Oreochromis niloticus: one gene and its partners. The protein of the gene in region 1 purifies or fractionates together with the protein of each later gene. This does not show direct contact. Links are inferred from orthologs where the notes say so. Each region holds a gene or a part of one and is shown on either strand. Other genes may lie near its edges.

What was found.
Region 2: the proteins of cpsf2 (region 1) and fip1l1b purify together in Homo sapiens (affinity purification with mass spectrometry; 7 studies listed by BioGRID and IntAct, with this or other methods). This does not show direct contact. The link is inferred for Oreochromis niloticus from reciprocal best matches to the Homo sapiens genes CPSF2 and FIP1L1.
Region 3: the proteins of cpsf2 (region 1) and sympk purify together in Homo sapiens (co-immunoprecipitation; 8 studies listed by BioGRID and IntAct, with this or other methods). This does not show direct contact. The link is inferred for Oreochromis niloticus from reciprocal best matches to the Homo sapiens genes CPSF2 and SYMPK.

The regions. Positions count from the first base shown.
Region 1 is NC_031980.2:14,772,225-14,780,134, forward strand, and holds the start of cpsf2 (cleavage and polyadenylation specificity factor subunit 2), read right to left. Parts: upstream 3,004-7,910; 5' UTR 2,844-3,003; intron 2,476-2,843; 5' UTR 2,458-2,475; coding exon 2,309-2,457; intron 406-2,308; coding exon 246-405; intron 147-245; coding exon 41-146; intron 1-40. Other genes in the region: riox1 (ribosomal oxygenase 1), read right to left, coding at 5,610-5,669, 5,861-5,947, 6,023-6,122, 6,216-6,336, 6,442-6,583, 6,675-6,779, 7,083-7,261, 7,620-7,654. UniProt on the Homo sapiens protein: Component of the cleavage and polyadenylation specificity factor (CPSF) complex that play a key role in pre-mRNA 3'-end formation, recognizing the AAUAAA signal sequence and interacting with poly(A) polymerase and other factors to bring about cleavage and poly(A) addition.
Region 2 is NC_031971.2:23,839,261-23,847,101, forward strand, and holds the start of fip1l1b (pre-mRNA 3'-end-processing factor FIP1), read left to right. Parts: upstream 1-4,834; 5' UTR 4,835-5,043; coding exon 5,044-5,122; intron 5,123-5,490; coding exon 5,491-5,545; intron 5,546-7,458; coding exon 7,459-7,525; intron 7,526-7,633; coding exon 7,634-7,746; intron 7,747-7,841.
Region 3 is NC_031987.2:7,110,878-7,118,490, reverse strand, and holds the start of sympk (symplekin), read left to right. Parts: upstream 1-4,606; 5' UTR 4,607-4,791; intron 4,792-4,949; 5' UTR 4,950-4,988; coding exon 4,989-5,057; intron 5,058-5,399; coding exon 5,400-5,465; intron 5,466-7,032; coding exon 7,033-7,086; intron 7,087-7,174; coding exon 7,175-7,248; intron 7,249-7,342; coding exon 7,343-7,469; intron 7,470-7,576; coding exon 7,577-7,613. Other genes in the region: solute carrier family 35 member F5, read right to left, coding at 107-241. UniProt on the Homo sapiens protein: Scaffold protein that functions as a component of a multimolecular complex involved in histone mRNA 3'-end processing. Specific component of the tight junction (TJ) plaque, but might not be an exclusively junctional component. May have a house-keeping rule.

The sequences.
Region 1 (7,910 bases):
AATAACACCTGACCTCTGATGTTCTGCAAATAAAACACACCTTTCAAATTGACAATCTGAGAGTACTTCAGCTGCTGGATCTTATCAAAAGCAGCATCCACATCATCAAGAGTGAACAGTGTAAAATCTTCACTGTTGTTTCGGGACTACATGGAAAGAAAGAGAGAATTTAATACAGCAATGGTAATCAAGCCAAAAAGACCCTCTGTTAATTAAATCATGCATTACCCACATCCCCTTCTTACCTGATACAGATCGTACATGAACATCTGCCCCATCTTGTAGACAGGAATCGTGGCATAGATAGTACAGTTCAGCCCCAGTTTGCCCACAGCGTATGGCAGGGCTCCCAAGTGTATGGGGTCGGGATGGGAGAGCAGCACAGCGTCGACCTGATGAACATGTCTGGAGAGGGGAAAAAAGAGCATTGCAGCAGGTTCAAGTCCCAGAAAAGTGGAGTAGTTTAATTCAAATCTTTATTCAATCGCACAGTCTCGTCTCACAAGATCAAAATTTGTTCTTTAAAGGAGAACAATACGCATTCACAAGGAGTCCAGACAGATAATAAAGCTTTACATTTTACAAGGGTAATATAGGCTTCTAGTGGCCTCTACTTTGAGGACAGTTTGCGATTCATTCAAGATTAGAAGGTGCACAGTTCCAGAAACAAAGCCAACTAACATGTGCACATGGGAAATATTTAAAGTTGTGTTTAATGTTTTCCCCCTCAACAAAGATGACATTTCATGAACTGCCCTGTACCCTTAATGATGAGTTTTGACACCTCATTACATATCAATAAAGACGTGACAACCATTGACATAGTTTTTGGGGTTTTTCCAAGGGTAACTGAATAGGCAGAGACCACCCTCACCAATTTCTGATACAAACCCAGTCATCTTGCTCTATAAGCAAGAAAAGAGCTTCAAGGGTTACTTCTGATACTCTTGGTGTTAAGATAGCTATTCAAATTGTGTAAAAATCACTTTGGAGGTTTCCTGACTTTGCACTAAAATAAGAATTTAAAAAACATTTTTTTCCCTGGAAGTTACAATTCAACCACTGTCTCTGAAATCTCTGTAGCTGTAGTTATTAGATGTGAGAAAAGAAGAGATTTTAGGTAGTTTGGAAGCCTCAAAAGTAGAGCTGTCCCTTTTATTCTCGACTCTATAGATGTTCATCCAACTGATACAGTTAGAAACGATGAGTATGAAATTTCTCATTGGTGATAAAGTACTATAATAGACAGGGTTTTATATATATGTTGAGAGGGCGAGAGAGAGAAGACTACCAAAGGCAAGGACAGACATGAAGGTGAATGTGCAATAATGGCATAGTTAGAAGACGACAGACATCCTTTAATTCTGCACTCTTGCACTACATAGCTAAGAATGATTCACATTCACAGGCAGAGATGAAGAACACAACTATTATGTGAATAAAAAGCTCTAGGTGGAAAGCATAATAAAAACCAAACTGCATCATTAATAATTCCCACTCTTCTTCTTTCCACTGTCCTCATCGTACATCATCTGCTTCCATCTCACCCTATCTCTAGCATCCTCCTCTGTCACACAAGCCCTCTTTCACTACATCCGTAACTCGTCTCAGTGGTCTTATTCTCCTGCTTGGCTACTCCATATTTAACATTCTTTGTCCAACATATTCACAACAACATCATCTCAGCCATACTTCTTTAAATTTGGTCTCCAAACCGCTCAACCTGAACTTTCCTTCTGATCTAATTCTTTCTCCCAGTGAAAATCTTAACATCTACAAAATTGCCATTAGAGTATGAATTAGGATAATTCATGTTGTATATATGTATAGGAAACAGCAATAGAATTAGAAGACATACATTTGTCCATGCTAATGAAAGCATAAAGAAGCAAAGGACTAAGTTTGGAAATCTCTCCATATATGTTGAACCATCTCCTTGCGCCTGATATTCTTCTACTACAAGATGAGACAGAAAAAGTACAAATTTAACATAAGTGAGGTAAGTTGGGGGTCTGATGTTAAGAAATTCTTGGGAGATGACCCTCAGACTACAAGACTACAAAACCTACACCCATCGTCTAATGACGGCCAGTAGTAGTAGTAGTATTATAAACTTTCTTTTATGGCAATAAAAGGTCGGCACAAGCTTTCTTTCCCCTACTTCGGGGTGGGGAGGTCAGTCATCAATAAACCAGACTGCTGTGGGTGTACTGTGTTTAGTGAGTTCATAAAGGCACATTTACTTTTTGCTAAGAGTTTTTTAAATTAGAAACATCAACTCTTTTTGAAAGACTGGCGGTATACCGACCTCTTCATAACATCTATGATTTCCATGGAGAAGTTCTCATCCCAGCCGCAGTCCAAGAGGAAGCGGAATTCATCCACCTGCAGCAGGTAACAAAGGGCAGTCTCCTCCTGAACCCCTGACACGGCTGTTAGCTTGATAATGGACGTCATGGTTCTTCAGTTGTCGCGCTGAAATATAAGAATTGTGCTTGCATGTTATACTCACCACGAAACCTTTCCCACTTAATCTAAGGCGCGTGGCTCTTTATGTGTGTGAGTGCGACTCTGAGAAAAGTCATTCAATTTAATCAACAAAGAAAACAAACACAACCATGGTTGGAGTTTGCCATTAAACTGTGTGTGAGGCTAACAGCGTAATGTTGCACAAGTTTAACCTGTGATGTATGCAGCTTACAGGCTGTAAGTAAATAAAATGTAAACACAGTTTTGTTGCTAGCCACAGCTAGCTCAGAGTTGTTAGCAGATTGCCCAGCAAAGTGTATTTACAGTGCTAGCTAATGAGTGTAAATGAACTAACAAAGGAGCGTGCACCATACCATTAATTGTAAAATAATGGATTAGTCTTCTGGAATAAAAAACAAACAACAATCTTTTTTTCTGTTATTCCCAAATTAAACCATTTTGGCTCGCGTTTTTGATAGCGGCAGACATATTTGCCGCTGCATCATGTGTGAAAGGGCAAAGGAGCATACCACATATGGTGGTGTCGGTACTAAATAATTCTATGTTAAAACACTACATTTAGATTTTTTTTTCGAAAGGTATCTGAACACATCACCTTTAACATCATATGTTCAGTGTTGGAACGTATCTAATATTCCACTACTTGTGCTTTGACATTAAAATTAATTATTTAAAAATATGAAACCACCACATCGTAAGTTTACAGTTGGTAGAATCCGATGTCCTTCGCTTGGTGAATGAGGAGCTGAAGGCCGCGGCTGGTGTAAACAGAAGGTATTATTTTAGATATTAATATTATATATTATATTCATTATTCTTTTTTGGTCGAGTCAGTGAATTTTAATGTGTTTATCGTACTAAAAATACAGTAACTAGTGCAGTTTAGAAATAATCCTTAACTACACCTTGAAACATATTGCTAAGGCTAACTAGCTGACAGGCTAGCTAGCCAAGTGCCTCTCTCTAGGATACCAAAAGTTTGTGATGAACGATCTGCAGACTTACTGGATATTTAGTATTCAGCTTCATATATATAGCTGTAATGTAATGCATGGCCACCATATAATAACTGAAGTGACCGTGGTCTGTTCTTTGACATAGCTTGATGTGCATTTAAGCTTTGCCTGTCAAACCTCATTGAAGTGCATAAAGAAATGTTGTAACACATTGTTAAGGTGTACACATTCTTATAATCTAAAGTAGGCGTTTAAAGACAGTTGTTGTGCTAATTGTGCAAACAAATGTCTGTCATTTTTAGTCGAGAACATTAGCTGATTTCGTTTTCTAGAAGTTTTTTGCAGGTCCTCTAAATCTGTGAACATGGGCTACCCCCGGAATACTACATGTTGCTAAAGATTACAACGTCTCTTTCAATGGTTGGGACTCGCAGCATGATCAAAATAATGATGGTGGCACGATACAGATATAGTGTTATGAAAAAGCATTCTCCCTTTCCTTTTTTGAGTATTTGTTTCAGATCAAACAAATTTTAACATTAGACAAAGATAACCCGAGTAAATGCAAAATCTAAATCTGTGTAACTAAATGGAAAAAAGTGGAATTAAAAGATGAAAGGTGTTGTTGCATTCATTATTACTTTTAATAAGTCACTTCAGTAATAAGTGATCTGATTTCCTACACTTTTAACAGTATTTCCCCTAATTTTATTTTAGTTAACTTTTACCCTTATTCATTTGAGAACCTCATTTAAAATCATGAATTAATAACTGATTTGTTTATTTAACAGTGGAATCTGTGATGCCAGTGTATCAATGGTGTATCTTAAAAGAAAGCAATAAGATATTGCTATATTAGTATTTAGCCTTTCAGATAGCTTAAACAGAGATCAGACTTTTCAGCAATAGTGGTAAATGTTCTTGTATCATTTATGCTTGTGCTTTCCTGCATCCATTTTTCTTATTATACAAATATGAATGTCCAACTGCAATCATAAGTTTAATTTGGGAGTATAAAACCCATGCTGTTTTTCCTTTTTTTAGGTAGGAACCATGGTGAACTTGGCAGCCTTTGCCCGCCAGTACTGGGCACACATATTTGTCCCCACGGGCTTTGTCATTGGATGGTACCTTGACAAGCAACAGGACCAGAAGTTGACAGCTTTCAGAAACAAGAGTGCTTTGTACGGAAGGTAAGAACAAGTGACTGTTCACCAAATAAAAACAAAACAAATCCCTCAGGTTATTCTTGAATTTAAAGACTAACTACTATGTTGAATTCATGGTGATGTTTGTCACTGTGTACACAATAGCCCATGGTCTGGAGTTATTAGTTCAGTGCATGGATATTTTCAATTTGGCAAAGTTATAAATACATGAAATCTGCAATTTCATAAAAAATCCACCTGTAAATATTTGAAACACATAAGATGACGCAGAATAATGACAATTAGTTTAATACATCCTGTGTTTGTGTTTTATCTTGTCTATTTTGGTGTATTTAGGCCAAAATATGATGCAATGCTGAATGCAATAAAGACCCCTTACAGATATGCAGGCTCAATTAATAAGCAACTGCCTTCTATATCTATGCAAATCCACTTTAATAGATTTCCATATAACACTTTTTGTTTCTAATGTAGTAATACACTTTTCCACTTTCAGCCAATAACTCCAGTAGTGATCTTCTGGTGTAAAACTGTGCTCATACATCATTCTGCGCTGTGAAAGCCAAACATCTTACAAAACTTCAAATTTTTCTTCTTTTTATAGGGAACTGAAGCCTGGAGAGGAGGTGACCTGGAGGTAGACTGCTCTCTACTTGAAAGCCTGTGTCGTGTGGTGTGAACGAATGGGTGTCCTCAAATCACAATATTTAAGAAGACTCCTGTACCTCTGTTTTTGAGTTGTATCAACCAATAATAAAGATGCCATTAATTAAAATCATTTGGTACTTGTTAATGATTCTGGTTGTACAAGACCAAAAATTATATATAAATTTTTTTTTATTTTTAGTTGAACAGCAAAATCACAAATGCATTATCCATTTCCAGTTGAGCTAATGAAGGCTACTTGGAGCAGACATGTTCTCCACTGAAGATCTTATTTTGTATAAAGTGATTTGATCTCTTCATGCAGTCACCATGGTGGAAGAATCTAGTGCTACACTGGTTCTGCAGTGTGGATAATCCCCTTCTCAAAAAGTAGTTCAGCCAAAGCAATCTGGGGAAAAAGTAAGGGGAAAAACATGAGGATCAACCACTAATGACAAACACATAACCAAATAAGTGATTTCACTGTGCAGAAACCTTGTTTATACAGGTACCCATCTAAAACACTGAAGATAAGCTGCCCCATATGAGACACCTTCCAACAACATAAAACTACACAGAGTGTGTGAAGGTAATAATTACCCTGTCCTGCGCAGATTCACATGGGAGGCTTCCTACTGTCACAAAGCCGGGATATGAATGGATCAGAAACTCGACAGCATCTGTGTACTAAGAGGAAAAACAAGTCAACCCCGTCATTAGCACAGTTTACGAGACCTGACAAACACATCTGCCAATGTTTACCTCTGGTTTTATTTCAAAACTCTTGAGCTCCTCTTTGTGGTAAACTCTAGAGTTGTCAGTGGTGTAGTAAAGATGAACGGCATCTCCGTCATTGCATAACCTGGCAGTAAAGATTTACAAGACAAATGACAATGACACTTTTCTGCTTTAATTGGTAGCCTTAACATGTAGTCAATAAAAAAATCTGTGTTACCGGGCACACTGAGCACGTAGAATTCTGATTTGAGTCTGTGTAATGATATGTACACCCACATCCTTTACTTGTCCACCTTCCCACCTCGTAGGTGCTCCTTGTACACTGGTGACCAGTTCATCTGTGGGTGATGGCATGAATTAGAATCAAAAGCAATATCGTGACATTATGCATCTCACTGAAAAAAGAAACTAATGCAACAATTACAGCTCTCTCCATCACATACCTGGAGTGAGAGCGGGAGGAAGGCAGTCATGAATGAAGTCTTTAGCCTTCTGATCAACAGCAGCATCTACTGGTGCGTAATTTGTTAGCCTCTTCATCAGATTATCAATTCGAGAGAAGAACTTTGCCCTGCGCGGGTCTTCCTACACAAGGATAAGTTTTATCTTTAGCTAGTAATTGGGAGTAAACGAAGACAACACCTGAAAAGTTGGTAAAAATCACTTCATTAAATACCTTGTCGGAATTCTGTACTCCCATGTACGTCAGGTAGTCCAGAGGTAAACCCCGTCTGAACTCCACGTCCTCCTCCATTGCTACTTCCAATGCTGCTGGGACCAGCTGAAAAAAAGAGCAGTAAATTCTGAATACCCTTTTGTAAGTTTAACTGTCTTAGGCAATCCTTAGGTTAAGAAAGAAAGGTGATGTATGAACCATCAGCAAAATACTCTCCACCAGAGATCATTAGTATCATCTGTCAGCAGGAAAGACTGCTTTGGTTATTATTCTTCACCTGCAATGCAAAACCACTTCATGCTGGATGCAAGATTTATACCCTTCTGCTAACTACTGGCACACGTTTCAGAGTTCGGCCGTTGTCTTCATCTGCATGCACCACAGGGGGAAACAGGGAGGGTTTTCTACCTTTTGCAGCAGATCTCCCCAGCTGTTCTTCTGGTAAGAGGAGATGGTGATGTGCAGAGAGTGTGCGTCTGGTAGGCAGTTGCCTTGATGGATAAAACCTCGAGGGAAGTAGATGAGATCTCCGGCTTCTACCACCACATCTAGGATCGGCTTACCAATGTCTGCCTGGTCGAAGTTTGCTGAAGAGAAATCACAAAGCAGACACCTCTGAGAAATCTATGCCAGCATTAATTATATTTATTTATAATTCTGTTTTTCAAGCAAGAGAGGCTATTTTATTTCCACAAATCAGTAATTTATCATTTGTAAGTGACACCACAAGACATGAAATATTTCTTTTTCTGCCCTCCTTCATCAAACCCACTCCACCATCATTCTCTTACTTTTAATTACAAGTGCTTTTTACAAAGTACCCATTCCCCTGCTGCCCCAGGATCCCACGAGGTTCAGACCCAGAGGCATCAAATAATTATGCTAACAAAACGCAACCGTTAAAAACTACTAAGAGGATTAGTTGTTGTTGTTTTTTTTACTCACGACTCGAAAGCACAGGCAAGACCTCATCGTCTGATCTAAAAGAAAAGGAAAAAAAGAGAAAACGAAAGAGTAAAAAAAAAAAATATATATATAAAAATACCAGATATAGCAAAAATTAAACAAATTAAAACCCACATATGCAAATTGACTTTATTATTGTTTTAATTCGTCTGAAGGTTCAATAAACACCCCAGTTTCACAAAAATGAGAATTTTCTGGCAATTATTTTATGGTTCAGGCTTCACTGGGTTCAATCAACACTGATTTGGATGCTTAAGTAGTTTTGTATAA
Region 2 (7,841 bases), on another chromosome or scaffold:
TTATACTACTGTATTTATGTGCCACAGTCTGGATGTATTGGATTAGTGTTATTTCTATGTTAGGATCCTTGAGTTAATTTTAGGATATTATTGGTATGATTACGTATGTCGAATATTATATATTTATTTGGTGTGTTTGGGTCCTTGTTTATAAGCTGATGATAGCTTTTCGAAAGTGCCATTTCATAACTATTTTATATATTAGCATACTAGTATTTGCATTTTAATTGATTTGTAAATAAGCTGAAACCTACAATACAGAAAGCTCACACGAGTCAGGCTTTCTGTTTCCTTGTTTCTAGTGTTTGTGCTAAGTTAAGCTAACTGCCTGCTGTCTGGAGCTTCATATTTAACAAACACACATGAAACTGAAAGAGATCTTTTCATCTTTTTCCAATAGATGAAAAACCCTAAAATGTCGAACTTTTGCTTGAAACAACAGCAGAGAAAACACAAGTTTTATATTCTGAATTTTCACATTAAAACAGTTTAAAACAAACTCAGATCTTTTATTTTGTAAGGCCTTAGCTTGAATGAAATGTCCGTAATTAAAGAACAGATGGATCTTTGTATTGCAAAACAAAGAAGGAGAAAATGCCACGTTAAGCTGTCATTGCATCATACCGTTGATATAACCATTTGTTTGATCCAAAGAGATGATGTGGATTGAAAATGTGCCAGGGTGCATATCAGGGGAAGCTAATATCAGCGTGTGTAATTACTGATAGCCCAACGATCGCCCTCTGCTTGGATAAACCCGATTAGGATCGACTAGGCTGTAAGCCTCTCTAATCCACCGTAAGGAGAGAGGGATGGATGCAGGGAGGGAGGAAACTCAGAGAGAGACAGGGTGGCACATAGGGTGAAGGGGAGAAAGGGAAATAAGGATAAACAAGGTGCAAGAGGATGAAAAGCAGACAGGAACAAGACAGAGAGAGAGAGGAGAGAGAAGGCAGAGGAATCGTCAGGGAAAAACAGGCGAAGAGAAGCTGCACAGTGTGTCAAAGCAGATCACTGCCCGCAGGAAAAACACAGGCAACAACACAGCAAACTGAACTCCCTCCAAACCGCTTTTATCTCCTTCCACTGTGGTTTTGACCTTTGCCACTGCATCCAAGAGTTCAACCACATTTTATTTTAAATCACGTTCCTGCTCTGTTTGACAAATGTGGTTTTTTTTCCTTTCATTCTCATTATATTCTGCAGATCTCTGTGCATGGTTGTTGTATGCACAGACTGTGGATAAAAGATGAAATGCAAAGTGCCTGAGTGCTGACTCCTCCTCCTCTGGCTGCATAATAAAGTCCAGTTTGTAAGTTTATCGGGTCACAGGGGCAGCTACTTAAGCAGAAAAACACGGAGATCCATGCCCAGTTACCAAAATAAGTTTGTAAGTCTGTAAGAAAAAAAGGCCCAGGTCTTTGATGGCACCTGTAAATGCTGAAGCAGGGTTTACCTTGAGAGTGGCAAGGTGAGAATTAAGTTGGTGGTAAGTGATTAACACTGTCTATCAGCAAGATTACACAAAAACTACTAAGCAAAATTCAATGAACGGATGGACAGGTGGGAATGACAGAGGAACTCTTAGATCTGTGTCGTTTCTCTCAAGAAACAGGACTCTGGCACTGAACCTCGGGGAGGATGTGCTTTTCTACTTTAAATGCTGCTTTGTTGTCTTTTTGTCTCAAAAGATGCTTTGCAAGACTTTATCCAATTACGATCATCTCAGTTAAGTAAATTTGACTTTAAATAGCTCTTGAGTACATGGAAAGGAAAAGAGAAAAGGGAGAAAAGAGCATGAAAAGCAGGTGGGGGTATAAAGAAAACAAAGGGAGGGAATGTGATCAGAAAACACAGAGGAGTAACAGACTGGAAGAGAGACGCGTGAGAGGGAGAGAGAGTGAATGAAATAAATGCAATTTCCATGATCAGTTTAAGTTTGAGACCATTAGTCCCTGTACGTGTGTGTGTGTGTGTTTGTGTGGTGTGTGTGTGAATACACCGTAAACTTGGGGGAGCCGCACAAAAGCTCACACATATGATGTGATACAGTAGATTCCCGTGATATGAACCCCTGTGTGGTTCTCACATACGGTATGGGGGGGAAAAAAATCAATATAATCACAACTATAGTGTTACCATCCCATTTTTCACTCTCCCTGTGAGAGAGAGCACGCACTACATAAAAATTAATTTCATTTCAGCCTCAGATAAACCAGTGAGCGTCAGAACTCAGGCCACGCCTCTGTGTAATTTCCACTGTAAAAACTGAGGGAGAGTGAGAGAATCCACAGATTTCCTTGTCCTTTACTGACAAAGCTAAAGTGGCTCCACTTAACTGGTCAGAGGCCATAAATGCATTAAGAGTTTTCTTTGCATTAGCAGGCAACTTCTTGTGCAAACAACCACAACAGCAATCATGAGAAGTCATTTCGCTGCTGATGAGTCTGCAGCTGCTTCTTGAGGTTATAAACTTATAAAAGCTCTTTGAGAGAGGCAAAGTTTAAGTCTTTATTCCTTTTCTAAGGCAGGAGCTGATGCGGAGGTATGTCTCTAGTGGCATTCGTTTGTTTGTCGGCAAGATTACACGAAAACCATCGAGCTGAACTTCATGAAACCTGGTGGAGAAGTGGATAGCGACCAGAGAAATACCTCAATAAATTTTGTTGTGAATCTGGATTACTTTTCTTAAAATTACAATATAGTACATTGGCTTTGGTGAAGAGCTCTTTTGTTTTCACAACCTCTGGCTTACACATAACATTGTTTAACATCATTTATTTATTGCTTATAATTTGCATTAGTAACAACTTACTTGCTATAACCCAAAAAAATAAAGAATACAGATAAAATAGTCAAAAACTAGGAAATAACAACCTTAAAATTGTGCTTTATTGAAGTAGCCTGCATAAGGAAATGTACTTAGTTGCTTCTACTGCTTTTCCAGAGATGGCTTAGCTGTAAAACTTGCATTGTCCTTGGAAAACCTGCAATTCTGCCCTCACAACTTCTTTGTGTTTTGGTTTTTTATGATTACCTTGTCCAGTGAAGTTTCATTTCTATCAAAGCCAACTAGAGGCAGGGAAATGCTTACTGTCCAGAATAGACAGATTATGAGAACCATCAAAACATTTCGAAGGACTAAATAGTTCAGCTGAAAACACATTAGACTATCTTAAGTGTGGCATCCCATGATATACTAAAAACAAAAGTAGATTTATTTATGTCAATTTACCAGGCGGAAATGCAAACAAATAGAAGGCTGAAGCGTCTACATGGCCTTTTACATGAGGTACAGTGTGTGCCCCAGGCCACTGGCTGTACTGCCTTCAGACTCAGACACAACTTTCTTAAACAGATCAGGCACTTTGATCATTTACAGCATAAGTGCAGGGGGAGCTAATTTAATGAACGATGAAAGCACCATGGTAAGACGTGACACTGAGCCTTCGTGCAGGACAAGGAGCTTGAAACTCACTCAGCTAAATGGAGTACACAGTGTTTTTTTTTAATCATCTGGACATGTGCTTATCCTGCCCTGCTATGCTTCGCATGTGCTGAGGCCCTGAGGGGCATCATTTTTCCCAATGCATGTGGAGATAGGAATATGAGAAAATTTCCTACCAGGGTTTGGCTGTCAGTCTGTTCTTTACATCACTTCCATTTTCCCACGCTGCAAAACTCAGTGCTGACATAATTGCTCTAGTCCAGTCATCTTTCTGCCAATCAGCTTCCACTCTACGTACTTTACATCGCACTGGCCATCTTTCATTCTTCCTTGCAGATTCCTTCATGCAACCCACCTCCTCCCCAACTCCACCTCATGCAAACCACTCATCCAAGCCTCCATCTTATCTTCACCACCACGAGAGTCTAGACTCCAGAGCGAAAAACTTGACATACGGATATGGATAATGGATATGTGCAGGGTATCCATTAAAACCATTTGAGGAAACTGGAATAGAACAGTAAAAAAATAATAAGTGGAAGGCCTAAAAAACTCTCTACAGCAGATAAACAGTATCTGAATGCCATGTCCTTAAGAAATAGAAGAAAATCCCACAAAGACCTGACCCAGGAGCTGAGGGTTGCATCTGGCCTCTTCAGAAATGTTCTCAGTGGAAGGGCGGATAGCAAGAAGCCTTTCTTAGTGAAGGAAGGGAAGAGAAACAGGGACAAAAGGCCAAGGTATGCCAGATTACATGAGGGCTGGTCTGAAAATGAGTGCCAACAGATCTTGGAGTGATGAATCCAGATTTGAAAATTTTGATTCGAATTGTCACTATGTACAGAGGAGGTCAGGAGAGAGGTACAACAGTGAGTCTCTAGGGCCAACCATAAAACATGATGGAGGCTCTGTCTGTCTGACTGGCATCGGCTTCATTTCTCATAATAACGATGATCCCAAGTACAGTGCCAATGCACTAACAGTATACCTGGATTCAAAAACACAGAAGGATCACCATCAGTCATGGATTGGCCTCCCCAGAACCCAAACCTCAACATCATTAAAGCAGTGTGGGATCATCTTCACAGATAACAGAACAAAAAGGCAGCAGAAGAGCTTTAAATGCCCTTCAGGTTGTACTGAGTAATAAAGTTTGTAGCAAAGTTTCACTTTCTCCTAGAAGAAAAGCAGAGCTGGAAAAGAGAGTGAAGAAGCACTTTCGGGCATGTATTTGGGTGGTTACTTTGAAAAAACAATCTAACTAATTGTCACAGCACAAAATAACGTTTTATTTAATTCTTTCACTGTCGTGTTAAAAAAAAAACGCGACATAAAAAAGGAGCCGTTAGTTTGCCCGCTGGGGGCGCTGTGTTTTCTCCCATCACCCTTGACATTAGCGGGATGCCACCAATCTCTTCCGGGTTCACTCCGACTCGCAAAGGTTGGAAATGAACCTATGAAGACATAATTTATGTACATAACCACGTTTCCACGATAAAGGGAGAAGTTTTACTGTTATTTTTGCACCTGTGAGCTTTATTGAAGCTTGTAGTTGTTGAAGCCGCTGCTGGTTTAGCTCTCCGTGTAAGTTTAACATGTCTGCGGAGGAAGCGGACAAAACAGCCACCACTGATGCCAGCGCCGGAGACGAGGAGGAGGAATGGCTGTATGGAGGTAAAAACAACCACCTGACGTCCACAGAAACGGTTCCTTCGAACAGACAGAGACGTGGAACACGATGTCTCTCGCTATGTTCCTAATTAACTGCTAACAACAGATATCACTGTGCGCTATCCCGTTAATCACGAGCGTTAGCCTGGAAGCTAAGCTAGCAGCGGGATTTTGGTCGGCCTGTTGTGGCTGCACCGCTCGAGTCAAATCATTTGAGTATTACTCTGGCTTGTTATAACGTTTAACTGGACTATGAAGTGGCGTATGTATTTTCTGCAGCTCACCTTGTTAGTTAAAAAAAACAACAACTTCAGTTAAATATATATTAGATAACGATAAATGAACTCAGTTGCTTTTAATTTCTGTTCCAGATGAGTCAGAGAGCAAAGACGAGGATGAAGAAGCCAAGCTGAACGCTGCTGTCAGGTAACTATAATTCAGTCCTAGCCTGGATTTAAAAAAACAAAAAACCCTCTGTGTGTACCACATTTCAGGGTCAACGAGCGTTGGCAGAGTAACTAGCAAAGGTAATATAGTTCAGTACAGCTATCAGAAAATCTTCTCACGAACTCTAGAAGTATTTCAATTTCTAATAATTTTTAGATTTATTGAGGTGGATTTCAGCTGATGCTGTATCCCTGGGAACGGATAAAAGGCACTATTAATACACACGCAGAGGTCACTTTATTAGCTGCACCTTGCAAGTAACTGGGTTGGGCCGCCTTTTGCTGTCAGAACTGCTTTAATCCTTTGTGGCATAGATTCAGCAAAGTGATGGATGCATTCATCTGAGATTTTGGTCCATGTTGACGTCATGACATCACACAGTTGCTACTGATGAATCGCTGTACATCCATGAGAATCTGATGAGATATAGGTAGGCTGTATCCTACCTGAGAACCTACCAATATTCAGGTAGGATATGGTGTTTAAATAATGCTCAGTTGGTGTTATGGGAGCCAAACTGAAAATATCTCCCACTCCATTACATCACTAACAACGCTAAGCGGCAGCTACAAGGCAGGATTTGTCAATGCTGTCATGATATTCGTGCGTACCATCTGAATGTTGCAGCAGAAATCAATTCTTTGGTTGGTTATTTGGTTATATGATCTACTGCTGCCGTCCTCAGCTTGAATCAACCCGACCATTTACCTTTGACCTTTGGCACTGAGAGAACTGGATAGTTTTTCTTTCCTTATTTTCCCAAGCCCATTCTCTGTAAACCCTAGAAATGGTTGTATGGGAAAATCCCAGTGGATTTCTGAAATCAGCCATGTCATGCTGATCCATCCAAACTAAAATCACATGCGAGATGCATTTACTGCTATGTGATTGACTGATTAGATTGCTTTACATCTAGTATGTTAGAATATTATTGAAAAGAGAAAATTATGAGGATGTTGTTTGTCAGTCGTTAACTGTACACCTCATCTCTTCATTTATACTCATCCACATGTGCTGCAGATGCTGATGACACTATTGCTGCTGTCATAGATTCATTGATCCTACGGGGGAAACTCTGTTACAGCAGCAGCACAAAGAATAAAATTAGTGTAATATAATCTAATCTTGTTTAGTAAAGGTACCTCTGGCTCATAGTGAATGCTTTATAATGACACCGTTATTAAATTATCCCCAGCCTTAGACAGATTCATCTAACATATCTGTGACAGACCAAAAATAATTTTGGCTTACTAATATATCATCACCTGGGCTCCACCTAACATACAGACATCTTACAGTTACATTATGTGCTTAAATTTGAATAACAAAAGTGGTTAAACATATTTAAAAAAAAAACCAAAACAAAAAAAGTCAGCAGGTCACATGAGTACGTGTAAATATCTAGTTTAATTAAAAGTTACTAAAGGAGACTTAAAAACAAACTAATAGTCTTTTGAAACATAATTTTCTCCTAGTGTTTTACATACAGATAGATTAAAGGAAAAATGTAACACCTTGACCTCTACAGTGAGGTCATGCTGTGGCAGCTTTATGTTTTAAGTGACATTTTGGTGGCATGTTTTGTTTTTTTAATACTTGTTCTCTTTAAGATAAGGGTCACTGCAAGTAAATATAGTGTTTCTAAAAGATCCCCTTTATCCTTTGATTAAATTTTCCTTCCTTATTAGAATGGCCTCTGTTAGGATGTCAGTGCTCTGATGACTGAATAGTTTAAAGAGTATGAAAATGATGTAAATCAGATGTTGTGGCCTTCACAGTCACCAGATCTCCACCAAGGTGAAAAAACTTTGTGAGATTTTGGACCCAGAAACTTTGGACTGAGAAGAAATTTTATATTTGGTCTGTTGTGTCTAATGTTTTCATATCTGTAGTGCCCCTGCTGATGCTTCAACAGATGATGCTGCTGCGCACGCTACAGGAAATGGAGTTGCCTCTGAGGTGTGTAGCTTACATGCACAGTTTCAATAATTTTTGTTTGTTTTTATTACGAACCTAGATTCAACTCACTGAATGTTTCTTGTGTTGTTTTTGTTTCTGGATTTTCAGGCCACAGGTGAGGCTGCAGGCGAGGATGTGGAGAGCGACAGCGACAGTGACGATGACGACGATGATGTCCGTGTCACGATTGGAGACATAAAAACCGGAGCGCCACAGTACACGTACGTTTGAGGCAAATTGTGGTGCTGTACATATTTTTATAGTTTGTGGCTGGTTTAAATAAAAGCTGCTGGGTGAGGTTTCTGATTCGGAGATG
Region 3 (7,613 bases), on another chromosome or scaffold:
TTTTTCTGCTTTCTGTGGTGGATGGGTCACATTAAACATGGTCACCGTTTTATTAAGCCTTTTCAGTGTTTGGCTCCAACATCACAAGCGTGGAGATCAGACTTACCGAGGTCAGCTCGGAGGAGGCAACCCAGATGACATCCACCAGCAGGAGTATCACCACCCCCAGAGCCATCCGTCTCCGCTGGGCTGCAGAGCTACCCTGAGAGCTCATCCGGTTCATGATGAACACCCACTCCATCGGGACGGTGAGAGGGGAAATTCAGAAACTGCCTCGCTGATGACGACATCAGAAGACAGGCAGTGAGCTCCGAGGTTGACCAACTATATACTTCCCAACTATTTACCTTAGTTTTTTTTCGGCTTCAAAGCTGATGAACCTGTTCTAAACCCGTTTTAAAAGCTGCTATTCAACATTTTAATCACTAAAAACATCTAAAAAGTTATGAAACCACACCAAGAAATACTTCACTCTATCAACCAAAACCTGAATTTTGAACATGGCTAATCTAGTGTGGAGGTTTTTAATCTGGAAGTGGAAGTTAGACAGACAATGCAAGACATAAATAAACCTTCAGAAAACTTTCGTCCAAACAATAAGTGTGTTAGTGTCTGTAAGTTTGCCTGCAGTCAAATGTTTAAAGGAGTAATGTTATATTTTTACCACTTCAACACCCACCTGGTCGCCGCCAATACGTAAACTGAATTTTAGCCAGTCTCTTTGAAGGTCAGCTCAGATTCTTTGTTTCAGCCAGTTTAAGTTGAGACTCGCAGTTAAACACCTGCAAAAAAAATAAAAAATAAAAAAAAATTAAAAAAAATTAGAAGCCAGGAGAGTTACTCTACTGTGCTGTTTTTTAAAAGTATATCTACACCGAATGACAAATTAAAGGAAAAACAACAAATGTCCATGAGTACACATTTAACTCTATCCCCTATATTTGATGACCTCTGTTCCCTTAATGATGAGTTTGACAAGTGAGTGTATTTAAATAAAGACGAGGTTTGACGACCATCAGAATAGTTTGTGTAGCTGCACAGGCAGAGACCAGCCTCACTAACTTTTGATTCAAACCCAGTTATTTTGTTCTGTAAGCAAGTCTGAAATATGACACAAACCAATCAGTTCAGAAAAGAGCTTTAAGGGTTGCTTCTAGTCAACTTTCAAAGGGTAAAGAGTTAAACGCTGCACAGAGAGCAGACCATGGATCTGTGTGAAGAAAAGGAAAATATAAACCTGAGGCTACAGTCCCACGCACTCTGACACAAATCCTCTTCCTGATGAGGATGTGAGCGTTGCGTTAACCAGCCCAAAGAACACCTCACAGAAAAATGCTGCGGTGGAAATAAAGGCTGCAGATCTGAATGCTCATCGCTGCCTCTGTTAACTCCAGAACACTGAGCTTTGGGTGTTTGTGAGGGGTCTGCAGACACTGAGCTTTAACAATTCACTACTGTCTTTGTGCTAACATGCAGTCATCTTACTTTACAGTAATCATGTCAAAATTAAAATGCTTAACTTTTTTCTAATTTAAAGACTTTGTGAAATATCATTATTCTTAGTTTATATTATTTACTTATTGTTCCATATGTGGGTTACTGAGTGGTGGTGTGGGGAAACAAATCATACGACAGACAAATACCAGCCGACTACCCACTTTTAAAATGAGGGATAACAAATACAAATTAAGAGAAAATTAAATTTTTGAAAAATATGAAATGTTGCGGTGTATCCGTTAAACTTTGGAGTTAAACTGTGGAAGTGTTGTCCAGCAGACTGTAACTTAAATACTTAGAGTTCACCTGCAGCTGTATGTGACATGAAAGCTTTACTTTCATGCTTTACTTTTCAAGCTTTACTTTTCATTACTTCTTTGATTGTTTTTGTTGTTGCTGTGAGTGTGTTTTAGTCTGAGGTTAGAGATGTAGTTGATCTAAGTTTACTTATTTGTTGTCTCTGAAACTCTCTTTTTAACCTACCACGTAACCCGAGGTGCACCTTCTTAGAAACGCAACTACACATCAGGTCAATGCAGTACACAACTACTGTGATCGGCCTGTCCAGAGCCATTGATTACTCTTGTGCATTTCCAGCCACTTAACAATCATTGTCTCAATATAAAGACTAATAATCATAGTATCAATATAAGGACTCGCAAATCTCAGCAAATTCCTGGAGGGAGACTGCTCAATCTACTGGAAGATATCAGGGAATGTTCAAAGAGTTGGAAAAACTTGAAGGACATATATTTAGCCTGAAGAAAAAAAAAAAGAAAAAAAAAAAACCTGTCCACAACAAAGAGCTGGACCCAGAAAAGAAAAAGATCCCAGCATTTTGTTTGTTCCTATCGACCAGCAGGACATGTACAACACCAGGACACGACCACATGGTAATTAACACGTAATCCACTGGTACAAGCACAAATGCCGACAATGACGTTGGCCAATTACACAGGTTACATCATAGGTGCTACAAACACTCCCTGCAGATATCTAACTCAAGCCTTACTAGCAACACTTTTTCTGATCTAACTACTAATTTTGACCTCAGAGTTATTTTCTTTCACATATTCTATTCTTTTTACTGAGCAACTCTACTTTGATTAACCTGAAGTGATCAAATTGAAGGAAACTTGACTTAAGTTTCTGAAGACACTTTAAGTCTCATCTGAGAGGCAACTTAAGTTCAGAGAGCTGAGAGGAAGGCCTGTGTATTTACCCACTAGAGGGGCTGTCACCTTGGAGGACGTTGTTGACCCATCCTGACTTTATGAGACTCATTAGGTCACACTGGACAAGTTGTGAATGAAGAATCTCTTGCTTTAAAGGTAGCTGGTGGACAGGCCACCAACGCTACTTTGTGATGGTCTCCTTTACTGAACAGATAGATTTAAGATTACTGAGAACCTACACAGACTTTGTTTAATATTCTACCTGTTGTTGTCCACCATATGTGAATTTCACCACATATAGGATCAATAAAATCCACCCTGTGTTGAAACGAGGCGAACCATATGTTATAACAGAACTTTTTACTGCCATCGAAACACCAAACGGAGGGATAGATTTCGGTAAAATGGTGCTCGTGGCTCCATTTTCAGATAGTAGGAGACTATTTGTAAATACAATTTGTTCTGCTTGGTTTTAAACTGTCAAAAGGCATGTCCCGAACTTAAAAAACACACTTCAGAAAACTTTTAAACGACTACTAATGAAAGACATGCGTACACCTTCACTTACCCGAGCTTTAAATCCAACTATCTTCCAGCTAGCTACGCGCAGTACATCCAGAGAGCGTTGCAGTAACTCTTTAAGGTACGAACAGGTAAGCTGCTGAAAACACGACCTCCTCAAAGCTAGGCACTCACGGCTTTTAAGCTAGCTAATTTATTACCTGTTAAATTCTGACAGTCTGGAGGTCGACAGGTGTCCCGACGCTTTACTTTATAACTTATCGTGACATCTACTCCAGTTCATTGCCCACAGCTCAGGCTGAAGTCCACTTACTCAGTGTACCGCCGTCGCAGGTGTGCTGCGTTTAGCTGCTTGTTTACCTATTAGCATTCTAAGCGCTAACTGGCTTGATTGAAAAATGAAAAAGAAACAATAGTAAAATAAGATATTTTTACCCGAATGTGAGAGTGCGTCATTTAGTTTGCGCCATTATTTAAGCATCATCCCATACGCTCCGGAAATCCTGACAAAAATCACAGTTTTTAGCGATAAAAGTGTCACCAGCCCAGCGGTTGTAAACATTAGCTCAGCCTCCTGTCAGGTGACATCACTTACAGTGCAAGGCATTCTGGGGTATGAAGTCTTAAGGGGGAAAATGTTTGTTTTTTCATTTATAAACTCATACATTTTCTTGGTGTTTTCACCTTTGAAAATGACTTTTTGGAAATTAAATTGAGCAAATTAATTCAATTTTACCTCAGGCTGTGGAGAACACATCATTTACAAACACAAATAAAGAATAGGAGCTTCAAAGACGTTTTGCTCATTTTCTTTGATTTTATATGGGTCAGTAATGTTTTAGTATTATCTGAAGTCTATTGAGTGATTCCCTTACAGTTTGTAATTTTTATCCATAAAAAGTAATTTGCTTTGTACTTTAATTTCATTATACTTTTGCTTTTATCACAATATTGTTACTAGTTAATATTTTAAAAGCAATATTTTAATTAGTTTTTAGCTGATTTGGACTACAAAGCTCTGGTGGTGCTCCGTAGTCTCTGCTGCTCAGCCACAGGTTACAAACGCGAGAAACCATTTGTGTCATTGCACTATACAAATACAATCATTATACATACTTCTTACTAATTTATACATACAGCTATATTATACTTAATATTGTCTTATTTATATTGAATTACGTTGTAAATATTTTTTTGTTTCTTGTTTGTGTTTCTTGTTTGTGTTCTCATTCTTGTTGGCTTTTAATTCCGATTCATCTCATCTGTGTAAATGTGTCGTAAATGAAAATCCTTGAATCCTTGAATCCTTGAATCTTTGAGTCCTTCAATGCAAATTTTATCTGAACAGCAGGTTTCTGTTGTTGTTGTAGTGGCGCAGATGTCTCCTTTAGTGGCCGCTGTTATTTCTGCTCGTGCTTATTCACAACAGTCGAAGAAGAAGTTTGACGCCGCTTCTTTCGGTCAAACATGGCTGCGTCCATTATGAGCTAGAAGAGTTTTAGTGCTTTAGTTTAAGACGCCTCCTGCGATTATAAGTTCTTGACACTCGGGATATTTAATTGTTGTTGGAAGAACAAATTAAAGACAGGGTTAAACGGTAAGTAGCTTTTGCACATTTGTTTGCATAAAGGAGTTAAAGCAGCTCCCGCCGTTAGCACAAGGCTAACAGGAGCGTCTTATTAAAGGCTAATAAACAGCGTGTAGCACTCTGGTATAATAACACAGATAACATCCTTATTATTCGTGTGTTTACAGATCTTTGGAGCATGTTATCACCAGTGTGAGGGCCAAAACATGGACTTCTCTTCACAGGAGGGGGACTCTGAGGCCCCCGCTGTCATCGATATGACCACCAGCGAGAAGGTCCGTTTTTGTGATCGCTGATAAACATTTTAGGGGAAGATTTATGGGTTTTATGCTTTAAAAACTGGATGAAATCACAATAGTTGGGATTATAAAAATGGCGACCATTTTCAACGGCAATAGACCACTTTTTTGCCAGAAAAGCTTTTTACAAAAACGGCTTTAAAAGTCTTACATTTACCTTGCTGAAACCTGCAGCAACAAGTACATATACAGTAGGTTTGTCCTAGTGTTGAGCAGCCAGATGAGCCACAAATACCAACATATTAAATTAGAAAATCTCTCAGCTGTGCCTTTATTAAATCAACTGTAATGTAATGGGGGTCTGCTTTCTCCTTCCAGGTTGTGGAGCTCCTGAATCAGGCTGCTCTGATACCCACAGATGAGAAGCTGAATGTGCTCAAACAGGTTTGTAGCTTAGACTTTTTAACTCTGTGATACAAAAGACTGAGCACAACCCTAACCACAGGCTGTGGAGAAAGGTGGAGAATCGAAAGATGCTCAGATTGTCACTGGGAGTGACCAGAAAGGACAAGGTTAGAAATGAGTTCGTCAGAGAGAGGGACAGCTCAGGTTAATCAGTTTGGAGACAAATAGAAGCAAGGCTGAAATGATTTGGACATTTGCAGAGGAACAATAGTGGATATACAGGACAAAAGATGTTGAAGATGGAGCTGCCAGGCAGGAGAAAAAATGCCAAATAGCATAAGTAAAATAAAATAAGATAAAATAAATAAAATAAAATAAAACATGTTAAAACAAATTGAGTCAACCCCTTAAAGATTGCCAAAAGCTTCAGCAAATAAATGTGTTTTAAGAAGAGTTTTAAACTCAGAAAGAGAAGAGGCCTGCCCAACGTGCAAGGGCAGATCCTTCCACAACTTTGCAGCCGCTACAGCAAAAGCACAATCACCTCTAAATTTATACTTAGTTTTTGGTACCTTAAGGAGGTGCTGATTGGCGGACCTAAGGGAATGGGCAGGTGTATATGGTTGTAGTAGCTCCAAGAGGTAGGAGGGGCCAGGCCATTAAGATATTTAGAAACAAATAAAAGAACTTTTAAAACGATCCTAAAAGGTACAGGTAAATGTACAGGTAGGATGTTGTAAAGAGATGTGACAGAGTAGGATGCAGGAATAGGATGAGCTGGAGGATCCCTAAAAGGTGCAGCTGAAGGCAGTTTGAGTTATTGTAGATGATGACTTGGACTTGCAGGCTTAAACAAACTTTTTACTGTCAGCATATCTTTTTGGATCTACCATCAAAAAGCTTTTTTTTAACCTACACGAGGCTGCTGGCAGAAAGTCACATGTGTGATATTTTTGCTAAACATATATGATTATAAACTCTAAAGTGGAGCCATTCTGGATTTCCTGATTTTCTGTCCCATACATGTTTTCCAGCAATGGATATTCATATTAAACATGTACAAAATTTCCACTAATGAGGTTGTGTATGTGCAGGTAATCCCTGTGAGCCAGAAGGCTTCAGACGGCTATAAACCAGGAGTGTCAAACTTGTTTTAGAGCCCAGTTTGTTTTTAAGAGTACCAGACCAGTAAAACTATTGTCCTGCAACCTACATGAAAAAAATGTTCCTGTTTATTTCACTGTAAACAAGTTTAACTATACACTACTAAGGTGCCAGAGCATGGTGTTGAAGTCTCACCCATATCTGCAGCTGAGATAGTCTATTTATGAGGGGCAGCCAATCAGAAGAAAACTGACTTAAAGGGGGAGGGGCTAAAACAACTTCAGCTTCAGAGAGAGGAGGAACTTAGGGGCTGCACAATGGATTGAGTATAAGACAAAAAAGGATTATTTTAACTGTGAATTGTGCAAAGCTAGTCTAGCCGAGTCCAATATAGAGTTGGAAATGATCAGAAGATCTCAGTGCAACCGTGTAGACTGGTGTCTAATCCACTTACCCAGGAATGCACAAGAACATTGATTCAGTACATGTATTTAACCTTCAGGTCCAGGAACTCATCATCAACAAGGATCCATCTCTTCTCGACAATTTTTTGGATGTAAGTAAGCAAGTATTCGGCTCTCATAACCAGCTATAGTTTCATTTAAATTTGCCTCATTTTTGTTACTTTTTTTTTTGTCCTGTAGGAGATAATCGCTTTCCAGACAGACAAGTCCATCGAAGTGAAAAAGTTTGTGATCGGCTTCATCGAGGAGGCATGGTGAGTTTTCAGACCTGCTGTTGTTTTGTTTGTTTGTTTTTTAAGTCAGGGTCAGCATTTGAGATTTTTTTACTGTTTTATTATCTGCTTTCAGTAAAAGAGACAACGAGCTCCTCCTCAGACTCATCGCCAACCTGAACATGTTGCTGAAGGATGAAAGTGTGAATGTGGTGAAGAAAGCCATCCTCACCCTCACCCAGCTGTACAAAGTCACACTTCAGGTACAAAGAGTCAGATATACCGGCTTCATTTCTACCTTTTCTTTCTTTATGCGATCCGTTTCTGTTCTTCACTTCGTCTTCACTTCCTTTATCTTTTCTCGTCTCAGTGGTTGGTGCGCTCCAAAGCTGTGTCAGAAATGCAGG